Mus musculus: one gene and its partners. The protein of the gene in region 3 purifies or fractionates together with the protein of the main gene of each other region. This does not show direct contact. Links are inferred from orthologs where the notes say so. Each region holds a gene or a part of one and is shown on either strand. Other genes may lie near its edges.

Evidence for each region.
Region 1: the proteins of Nap1l1 (region 3) and Maged2 purify together in Homo sapiens (affinity purification with mass spectrometry; 4 studies listed by BioGRID and IntAct, counting the BioPlex papers as one, with this or other methods). This does not show direct contact. The link is inferred for Mus musculus from reciprocal best matches to the Homo sapiens genes NAP1L1 and MAGED2.
Region 2: the proteins of Nap1l1 (region 3) and Nap1l5 purify together in Homo sapiens (affinity purification with mass spectrometry; 3 studies listed by BioGRID and IntAct, counting the BioPlex papers as one, with this or other methods). This does not show direct contact. The link is inferred for Mus musculus from reciprocal best matches to the Homo sapiens genes NAP1L1 and NAP1L5.

What each region holds. Positions count from the first base shown.
Region 1 is NC_000086.7:150,808,559-150,811,424, forward strand, and holds part of Maged2 (melanoma-associated antigen D2), read right to left. Parts: intron 2,625-2,866; coding exon 2,316-2,624; intron 2,187-2,315; coding exon 2,123-2,186; intron 1,866-2,122; coding exon 1,786-1,865; intron 1,240-1,785; coding exon 1,145-1,239; intron 769-1,144; coding exon 689-768; intron 595-688; coding exon 552-594; intron 226-551; coding exon 163-225; intron 1-162. UniProt on the Homo sapiens protein: Regulates the expression, localization to the plasma membrane and function of the sodium chloride cotransporters SLC12A1 and SLC12A3, two key components of salt reabsorption in the distal renal tubule.
Region 2 is NC_000072.6:58,904,642-58,908,582, reverse strand, and holds Nap1l5 (nucleosome assembly protein 1-like 5), read left to right. Parts: upstream 1-1,456; 5' UTR 1,457-1,615; coding exon 1,616-2,086; 3' UTR 2,087-3,350; downstream 3,351-3,941.
Region 3 is NC_000076.6:111,493,642-111,497,295, forward strand, and holds part of Nap1l1 (nucleosome assembly protein 1-like 1), read left to right. Parts: intron 1-529; coding exon 530-652; intron 653-1,153; coding exon 1,154-1,183; intron 1,184-1,409; exon of another isoform or gene 1,410-1,683; coding exon 1,684-1,734; intron 1,735-2,398; coding exon 2,399-2,434; 3' UTR 2,435-2,464; exon of another isoform or gene 2,465-3,112; 3' UTR 3,113-3,654. UniProt on the Homo sapiens protein: Histone chaperone that plays a role in the nuclear import of H2A-H2B and nucleosome assembly.

The DNA of each region.
Region 1 (2,866 bases), on a different chromosome or scaffold from region 3:
TGTTCTAAAACCACGTATGAAACAGAAATCTATGACTGCACCCAGAAAGAACCTGCCACTGGCCTATACACATGCACCCATGCAAACATATGCTTGGGGCACGTCCATTATCAAAATAGACAAAATGCAAGGTAGAGTCCAACAGCAGACAACGACACTTACTTCTGCTTCACAAACTCATCAGTAATGAGTTTCTTCACATCTCCAAAGAGTGAGTGATGAATCCTGGGAATATAGAAAGCTCAAATAAACAAATAAATATAATCAGATCTGGTACACTTCCCAGATGATGGCAGAGGCATTTAATTCCAAGACAGAAAAGAGATTTACAGCACAGAGAAAGCTCCATGGAAGCTCAAGAGATGGTTGAGAGAGTGAGCAGAGACAAGAGCCATTTCCCCATCCACACGGGTCAAAATCTTGGGCCCACTACCCAGCCCAGAATCCCCACCCCCAGCTCCACCAGACCACCAGGCTGATGCAATCCTGGGAGCGTCCTCTCTTGCCAAAAGACAACACGGACAGCAAGCGCTGAGAGAGCCCAATCATACCCAGGGCGCAGCCCCAACTTGCGCAGCACCTCCCAGATGACAGCTGCAAGAGGAGGCAAGAAGGAGACAAAGACAGAAATTGAGCATCTGGAATTCAGGCAACAGCTACCTATTCAACTGCATGCCCATCCACTCACCCTCACTGGACCGATTTCCATTCATGAAGATGATGCTAAGAAGCACCATGAGGAGGCCCAGCTTAGGTGAGTCCTTGGTCCTAAGATAAAGAAAGTTTACGTTCATGAGCCATCATCTGTAAAGCAGCTTGCTAGGCTGCCCTCTCCTAGATCCCTCAGATACAGAGAATTCAGCCTACTCTATGGTCCCAGCCTGACCTAAGGCAGGATGCATTCCCTCTTGAGCCAAGCTCTCTACACACCAAAATGCTACTCCTACATAGGGTTAGGACATGGAAGGATGCCTGTCAACCCAAGCAAGTCTAATACCACTACTACCCACAGGGATCCAGCGTGTGTGGGAGTGGGGACAGGGGTGTTTAGTCCTTCTTTCCTGAGCTTCTAATAGGCCATGGAGAGAGGGATGGATGGGTGGAAGCAGAGGCCCATTCCCACCCTAGCACTTTCCCGGCTTACGTTCCCAATATGCCTGCATCAGTTGGCTCTAAGGTACTGAGAAGAATATACAAGTGGTCATTCTTGTCAATTTCTTTCAATTGGATTCCAAATACCTATGGATAGGAAGAAAAACTTATAAAATCATAAAATTCAGCTTCCAGGGCTTCTGTAGTTTCTTTTATAGCTAAGGGTTTTCTGCACATGTGAATGTGTGTGTTTGTGTGTGTGTGTGTGTGTGTGTGTGTGTGTGTGTGTGTCTGTGTGTGTCTGTGTGTGAAAGAAAGTAATGGACTATTGTATATAAAGCACATAGTTATGTGCTATTTATACACATAACAAACATAGGGTGGTTATCCATAGCATCTTTGTAATCAGGGGGAATTTAGGGAGACAGAGGGGTGAGCATCTGCAACACATGAGATGGTGTATCCAGCAGCAGGCAGAAGCCAGGACTAAGCTGCACAGCTTTAGCACTAGCTGTGTTTCCACAGCTGACTTGCTGTGTGGTCAGTGGCTGCCCCTCCCTAGGCCACCATGTGCTCAACTCTACAGTGATGAGGATGCAGTAGGTCTCTGCTTTCCTCCAGGAGGGTGCTCATATGCCTTTCTTCTGTTTAAAGCTTCCCCAGTGCACCCATCCCCCAGGGCTGTCCCTTCACCTTCTCCAAGGAATAGCCTGCTCGTTCAATGATTTCAGGGTATACATCAGTATATTCTTTGATGATGTCCTTCAGCATATCTGCAAATGAGAGTGTTGCAAGCATCTGTGCTGTAGAGATACCAGGTAACCCTGATGCCCAATCAACAGACCCTTTGTTGTCCAAGCCATGGGTGGCAGAACCAAGTTGTGGGGGGGCTTTTCAATAGAGATCCCACTGTTAGGAGAACTTTGTGAAAAGGGACAGGCGCGTGAGAATGAAGGCTGTCCCCAGCACACTGGTGAGAAGACAAGAGAAGGCAGAGCTCAGGAGAGAGCACGTGTTTGTAGGACTCTACCTGAGCGTCTGATGGGAATCTTTGTCTGGTCTTTAGCCAACAGGTACTTCACCAAGTCATTTGCCTAGGAGAAAGAAAAATGATGAAAAGACCAAAACAAAAAAAAACAAAACACAGAAAACTCCAAAGCACAACAGAGAAGACATCAGGCAACACAATTGAAAAGGTGAGACGTAGAGGGTGGAGTCCATACCCTTCCTTGTAAAAGGGCCACATCTCTGGGTGGGGGTGCCTCAGGTTCCTGGGATGACTGTAGCTTCGCAGCTCTTCTTCGGGCCTTGCCTCTGCGAGCTCTAGGTGACCTCAGGGAGAGCAAAGCTCTCCGAGCCCAGGCAGCCAACCGAGTCCTTGATGCCCTGCGGGCCCAAAAGGCTATGGGTCCCCTTGAAGCTCTGCGAGCCATGGAGGCCATTAGGGCCTTTGAGACCCTTCGACCACCTGTGGCTTCTGAAGCCTGACTCTGGTCACTGTTGCCATCCTCTTCTCCATCCGGGTGTTTCCCCTGCATCGAAAGAGGGGAAGGTCAATATCAGCAAGTGGTGCAGGTGGCTCTTTCTCTTAACTCAGTCTCTTCTGGAAAGCACACCCAACGCTGTCTCTTCTAGGATACATCCCCACAACCCTGCCCTTGTAGTAAGACTCTGCCTCACTGGACACTAGCCATCCTGAGTCATGGGCTTATCACTGACTACCAGTTGGGAATTTCCTCCCTGAGTGGATCAGGAACAAGTCAGAAATAAGGCC
Region 2 (3,941 bases), on a different chromosome or scaffold from region 3:
GGCAGGAGGGGGGAGTAAAACAAACTAAAGGACTCAGAAGTACGTTAAAAAGGTATTTTGTATATTTCACTTTCTTTCATCAGAGGGACAAAAGTATTTGTTTTTAATACAGTAATTTTACTTTAAAAATATTCAGTGCTTACTCCATGTCAGCACTAAATGGTTTACATACAATTAAGTTAATACACGTAAGAAGTAAAAGAGAGAAATTTCTTATGAAATTCATATGCATAAAACTCTGGCAAGACCCACCACAGAGAAAGACAGATCTAAATAGGTAATGAATGTATCCTCTAGGAACCACTTAAAAGTTGTGCCCTGCTCTTTATTCTAGAAGCTCTAAGGAGGCAGGAAGGACCTGGAGTTCACATAGTTTAAAGCTAGACTGGACCAGCTAAATAAATAAATAAATAGATAGATAAACAAAACAAATAACTCTCTAATTCTGGCTTATATGGGGAAAAAAATAAAAGATCACTTCATTATTAGAAAACAAGACTTTGATGTTTATGGTCTTTTCCAAAGCTCTCACATACAAATTACAAGCAGATTCAAACAACAGATGGTTAACTGTGAAGTGTTTGGTGACAAATGACTGTAGAAGCATCTGTGGGTCCCTAAGGAAGTGTAGGATCAAACACGCATTTCAAGATGTATTAAAATGACCTCTTTTCCCCAGCCTTTATGGGCATGTTTAATCTGCTAACTGGAAGCAGTGTGCCTCCACCCAAAAACTGAATTGGGCCCTACACATCTATACATGACAGCATCTTTTCACAATGTCACACGGTTGGACACTTCTAGGGCTTTGCATTTCTTCTGTTCACCCTCACTTTATTTCTTTTCAGAGGCAATTGTGTGAAACCTACTAGAATGCTCACAGCGCAGAAATTTGCCACACAAACACTTACAGAATCAATGCCAAGGTCCCTCCCGGAACAATTTGCCACGAGGATATAGGTTTAACAGAGATGTCTAACTGTGCTCTAAGAGCCAAAGATGGTCTGCGCAGATACAGGCACGCACTGTGGGTCTGCAAAGGTGAAGGAAAATGGTTCTCCTGCATTTCTGTTCTCTGAAAGTGAATTTAAGACGCAGTCAGGCTTGGAAATGTACCCATAACCAAGGCTTACCAACATTAGCTATGGCGCACTTTCAACAAAGATTGTCAGGTGCATTGCGGATTTGGAGAACTAAGATGGGAGGGGGAGCACACAGTAAACAGATTGGGGGGGGGGGGTGTATAAACAGGTATGGAAAAATACAGTCTCAGCCTCGAGCTGGTTCCAGCCAGTTCTGCAGGGGTGGGGGCGGATGCTGAGGGCTGGGTGTCTAAGTGGCAGGTTTTAGAGACCTCGGAGATAGCAGCATAGCAACAATTTGGTGCAGTGTGTGCGCACAACCATCAGCTGATAGTGAGCAGCCATTCACTTGCCGCGAGCCGCGAAGCGGCCGCGCGGACGTCACCACAGCCGTCAGCGTTTGCCGCATCTTCAGACGCACTCTGGACCAGCCGCAATCACAGCTGCAGGACCTCTCTGGACCAGCTCTATTGCAGACTGCGCAACCACCAGACCACTGCGGCAAACAAGCCCAGCTGAGCCGAGCAGTAGCCATGGCCGACCCCGAGAAGCAGGGACCCGCTGAGAGCCGCGCCGAGGACGAGGTAATGGAAGGCGCCCAGGGTGGCGAAGATGCCGCGACCGGTGACAGTGCCGCTGCTCCCGCGGCCGAGGAGCCCCAGGCCCCCGCGGAGAACGCGCCCAAGCCCAAAAAAGACTTTATGGAGAGCTTGCCCAATTCCGTGAAATGCCGGGTTCTGGCGCTCAAAAAGCTGCAGAAGCGCTGCGATAAGATCGAGGCCAAGTTTGACAAGGAATTCCAGGCTCTGGAGAAGAAGTACAACGATATCTACAAGCCCCTGCTCGCCAAGATCCAGGAGCTCACCGGAGAGATGGAGGGCTGCGCGTGGACCCTGGAGGGAGAGGATGATGAAGATGACGAGGAAGAGGACGACGAGGAGGAGGAGGAGGAAGAAGAGGCTGCAGCTGGCGCAACTGGGGGTCCCAACTTCGCCAAGAAGTGAGCACAGCAAGCTGACAGGTGATAAATCCCCTGCCCCTTTTATTTCCAATGTCGGCAGACTTTAAAAGGCTCAGGATTTGCCCAAAATAAAATGTGAATCTATTCTGACATTCCTAAAATTAAATTGAATCAAGTAGATTCTGGCTAGCCCGTTTCTAATCTGACTTTTATTTGTGTAAAACAGATGCTAAAAGACGTTTTTTAGAAAAAAAAAAAAGCCTAATTAAACTTTTTTTTTTCTCCCTGCTCTTCTGTGAGAACTGGACTTGAGACTGTTGAAAGGTTGTCAGTTAGATGGGAATTAAAAGTGCGTCACACGTTGAAATCCATTCATCACACTACACCAGAACATCCAAGCTAAGACAGAACTCTTCTCAATGCTTAATTCTTCAGTTTCTTTACATTTTCCAGCGCAGAGGAAAAGGAACCCAGGAACGACGTCATCTTTAAGACTTTTGCTTTTGCAAACCCAGACATCAGCTTTACACTCCAGAGGAGCCTTGGCATGGAGCAAGCCTGGACTGACAGCATTTACTGATTATGTGGCTAGGAAAACTGCCATTTCAAGTTGTGAAAAAATGTTTTAAATATTTGCATTTACAGAAAGAACATGGTTTCAAAAATGAGGGTGTATTCCATGTATAATATTGTCAACACGTGTTCATCTGTTATGGTCCCGTGTTACCTGTTTTCTTGGTAGTGTTTGTTTACAAAATCGTAAAAAATTACCCCAAATGTTTTAAAGTGTTAAATTACCTTATAGCATTTTAGAAATATAATTTACTTGAAGAGATGTAGAATGTAGCAATTCTGTAAAGCATGTGTATCCAGTGTTGCCTAGTTTGACCTTTGTGAAGTCTTTTTGTCTTGTAGCTTTTAGCAAGTAGCTGTGAAAACCATCAGAACTCCTCAATGAAGCTAATGTTTGGAAAAAGTATATACTTGAAGAACAAACCCAAGTGTGTACCCCCAACCCCAGCTCAGAAATAGAAAGGGTTTAAGTTTGCTTGTATTAGCTGTGCCTTCATTATTTTGCTATGTAAATGTGACTTAATAAATGGTGCAAAATTAAATTTTATTGCTTGAGGACAGACGGGCATAAAGGAAGGGAAAAGACATTTAATGTAAAGGCCTCTAGCTTCTTTGTGGGTTTTGAGTTGTCTGTGAACCAATGTTCTGTAAAGAAACACAAACTTAAAGTTGTTTACCACTGTGGTGTTAACAAAACAGTATTTTCAAAAATAAAAAAATCCTTGTTATTCTGACTACCTGTACTGTCATCTATAAAAGTGGGTGGGAACAATCCCTTCCTCGCAGTTATTATGAAGAGAAAGTGAGTAACTACGCTTACAGCCCACACAGCAGCGTCTGACACCTAGGAATAATTTCCAGCTATTATTGTTTTAATAAAGACAAAAGACCCAGATAGAAAATTCAACTCCCTCCCCTGCTACACAACAGAAAATGGTAGCATTATTAATTTCTAACTTGGTGATTCCTTGTTATCAGAAAAGAATATGGCTTGTAATTTAGAAATATAGGACATTCAAAAACTATCTTGTTTTAGTTTCCTCCATATAAAGCCAAGTTTTAATTTCCTCTTAGACAAGGTAAGATTTTAATGTGACAATATGAATGCACACACACACATGCACAAACAAACCAAAAAATAATCAGACGCCATTCTTTTCCATTTGCTGCAAGGGTTAATCACACTGCAGCAAAATCTGATGACGTTGGGGAAGGGGGGCAGTGCTAACCTGTTGCTAATGACAACAGATGGCTCTGAACAACACTAAGGTAGTGGTAATCTTCCTTGCGGCAAGACCAATACAACTGAAGGTGTATATTTTATA
Region 3 (3,654 bases):
CCCAGGCACTGGGCTTAAAGGCACGGCCTACCATACCTGCTAAAGACTCAGCATTGCTTGATGCGTGGTAGTGTTTGCCAGCATGTATGTATGTTCCATTTGTGTGACTGATGTCCGTACAAGTCAGAAGAGGACAGCATCCTCTGGAATGGTTCTCTGGTTTTGTGGATGCTGGGAACTGAACCTGGCTCTTCTTCGAGAGCAGACAATGCTGTTAAATCTCTGAACCTTATTAACCTGCTGAGCCATCTTCCTAGCCATATCTGTTATTTCCAAAGGAATGCCTTCGTGTAGCAGGGTTTCTTTTATGTTTTTCTCTTTAATCGCAAAGTCTTAGATGATAACCAGTCCTAACTTCTATGTACTGCAGTTTTTCTCGGTGTATATGCTGGCCTGCTGGCTTATTGTTAGGTATTAGGTATTAACAGCATGCAAATCCAGCAGTTTTAGATGGCTTACTTGATAAGTGGCAAGTAGGCAGGATTGGAGCTTTGTCACAAGCTGACTGACTGACAATTCCCTCTGATAGGATGATGATGCTGAGGCGATACTGGCTGCAGACTTTGAAATTGGTCACTTTTTACGTGAGCGCATAATCCCAAGATCAGTGCTGTACTTCACTGGAGAGGCTATCGAGGACGATGACGATGATGTGAGTGCATTTAAGTCCTGCAGTGGAGCCTTTTGTCGGGTGCCACAGTCAGAATTGGGAAGAGGCTAGGTTGGCTGTAGTAGGACATACAGGGCTCATGGTGCCGCTAAGCCCTTGGACAGCTTTTCGCTTTTCTCAGCAAATTTGAAGAAGACTTCTTTAGGATAGTTTCATTTAAAGTTGGGTTTTGTTTTTCTGTTAGAAGAATGATTCTGAATTACTAAAACGTGGTTACCTTTATGTTTAGTTTATTTTGATGTCATTGTCATGAAACAACCAGAACTCTTATGTTCATGGCAGCATTTATACGGGTAATACAGAGTCTGCAAAGAAAGGGTAGGGAGATGTTGTAGCCTGTAGCTGGCACAGAGCTTGGTAACTGAGAGCACTGAGAGCATTTCTGCTCAGGTCTTTGTAATACATTTTAGTGTTCAGATGGTGGGTGTTAATAATCTGTGCTTGCTGACTTTTTCTCACTCACACTTTCACTTGTCTTTTCAGTATGATGAAGAAGGTGAAGAAGCTGACGAGGTAATGTTTACCAAATGAGCAAATAATTCACTGTATAACACATTGAGGAACAAAAATGAGTGATTAATGTATTCCTTATAATCATTCTGTGATTTGGGATAAATTTTGGAAACTATGATTTTAGAATTCTACAGCCAAACAATGTATGTATAAGGTTTCAATAAATAAATTGCAAAACTCAGCAACATTTTTTTTTTTTATTTCAAATAATTTTGTTCTGCTGCAGGGTTATCAGCTCTTTGAAGAAGTCAAAAGCTGCAGTAAACTTTTCCAACGTTGGCTGCAGTAAATCTTTTCAATAAAAGCTGTCTGGATGTCTCAAGTTGTGTTGGGAAATTTTTCATATTAGAAGCTTTGAAATTAAATTGTATTATCAACAAACTCTGTAATCATGAAAATCTGTTGACCCATAGAGTAACTTGTATAAAATTTCCATACATTATGAGCCAATTTTTCTAGTATGTACCTACTTCATGGATGCATTTTGAACTTTAATATAGGAAGGGGAAGAAGAAGGAGATGAGGAAAACGATCCAGACTATGACCCAAAGGTGAGCAGAACTGTGCTGGCCTCCCTCTGCCTCACACTAGAGTAGGCGTAGATGAGACAGATCCTCTCTTTACTTGCTCTTATTTGGGATTTGACCTTTTTAAAGAATTAAACCTGTTGCTTAGATTGTTTTCCACACAAAGGAAAGTTGTAATTAATTAGCTAAAACAAGTCTGGAGGCAGAAATGCTTTGAACTTTGGATTCTCCAACGACTATTAAAATTATTTGATTCCTAAAGGTCCCAGTTTATAATTCTTGGAATTTTAGGGTTAGTAAAACATTGTCTCTTCAAAGTTTGTAATAATCTCCAGGATTCATTCGAAACCTAAAATTTCCTTTATTTTGTTCATCTACCATTTGCTGTAAAACACTGGGAAGATACTTTAAGCATGTAGAAGGGAAGTTCAGAGTAAGCTATTTTGATAGATATGAATTAATTAGTGTCACTATAATCAGTGGTTGTTTTGAGGTTATAGGCTATCCCAGGAAGTAATGCTTCATTAATGTACACTTCAGTGACTTTGAGCATTAGTTTGTCACTATCCTGTATTTTCTGCCTTCACTGTAATTTTTTTTACAAGATATTATGATAACTAAAGTACTTGTGTAAAAAATGCATCACAGTCGGTAGAAGATAGATTGACGTGTTGTTTTCCTTTAACAGAAGGATCAGAACCCAGCCGAGTGCAAGCAGCAGTGAGCAGTGACTGGCCTTGAGGACGGCCGCCCTGTAATAGCCTAAACATGACTCATTTACTTACAGCCTTATGGTTTTGTATTTTCTTGGTAGAATCAGTAAGTTTTTAAGGGAAAGGAGATTGATATTTGAAAGACGAGTTTGTTCTACCTAGCACCCTAGCTCTAGCTCTGTCAGATACGTTAATGCATACATCCTCTCTAATGCATGTTCATTTATTGCTGCAGTTTGGTTCTTCTGGAGTATTTTCATCATTTAGCTATTGGAATACAATTATGAAAACCAACTGTTGAACATACTTGGAGTAGCTGTTTCTTTCCTAAAGAACCAAAGTTGTTTTCAGCTAATAGAACAGGTTGAAGTCCGCCTGCATTAGCTGTGTTTTCCCTCATCTTGTTAGAGGGATGCACAGGGCACGGTGACATCATTTCCCTCATGTTGTTAGAGGGATGCACAGGGCACGGTGACATCATTTGAGGGAGGAAAATTGTCGTTAAGAATTTCCAGTAAGATCAAACTTAATAACTGAGATTATGAAAGCATTTTTATGTTTTCGATGATATAAACAAAAGTCAACTCGTTTATAGCAAGGTGAACAAACCCTAGGTTCTCTTGAAGTTGATAGTATTTAATGTATTTTGAAAATTAACCTCCATTAATTAAATCTTTTCTTTGTGGTAGGGCCTACCTTCTGCTTTCCTGGAAAAGATGAATATACATCATATGAACCTATTTTGAGTTTTTCTGTTGTTTGTTTGCCTAATTTTGTTTTTATAGCCTAAAATAAAAATATGACACAGTTTTAGCTCTCATGGGATGCTGTCTCGGTTTGTACTGATTGAGGCTATTGCAGAGGGTTAGTTGGAATTCAGGGGTGCCTAGTTTTCTATATTGAACAACGCTGGAGGAGCTAATACACACGTGCTTTAAAAAAAGTGATATGCTCTAGTTTGAGCAGAAAGGTACAGTTGTGCTTGTTAGAACTGAAACCTTTGTTTGGACTTTGTTTATTCTGTCCTCAGGAGGATGAGGAGTGTCGGGAGCCATGCTGTTTATTTACTGTGCATAACCAAGAATGGGTGGGACTGTTGATTCAACTACCTCAACTCTGTTAAGGCATATTGGGGTATATCTCACAAACTCTCAGTCTTACTTGCAAAATGCTCAAAAAATTGGGCCTCTATACCATGAGTGTGATATTCAGCATTATATTCACACCAAGC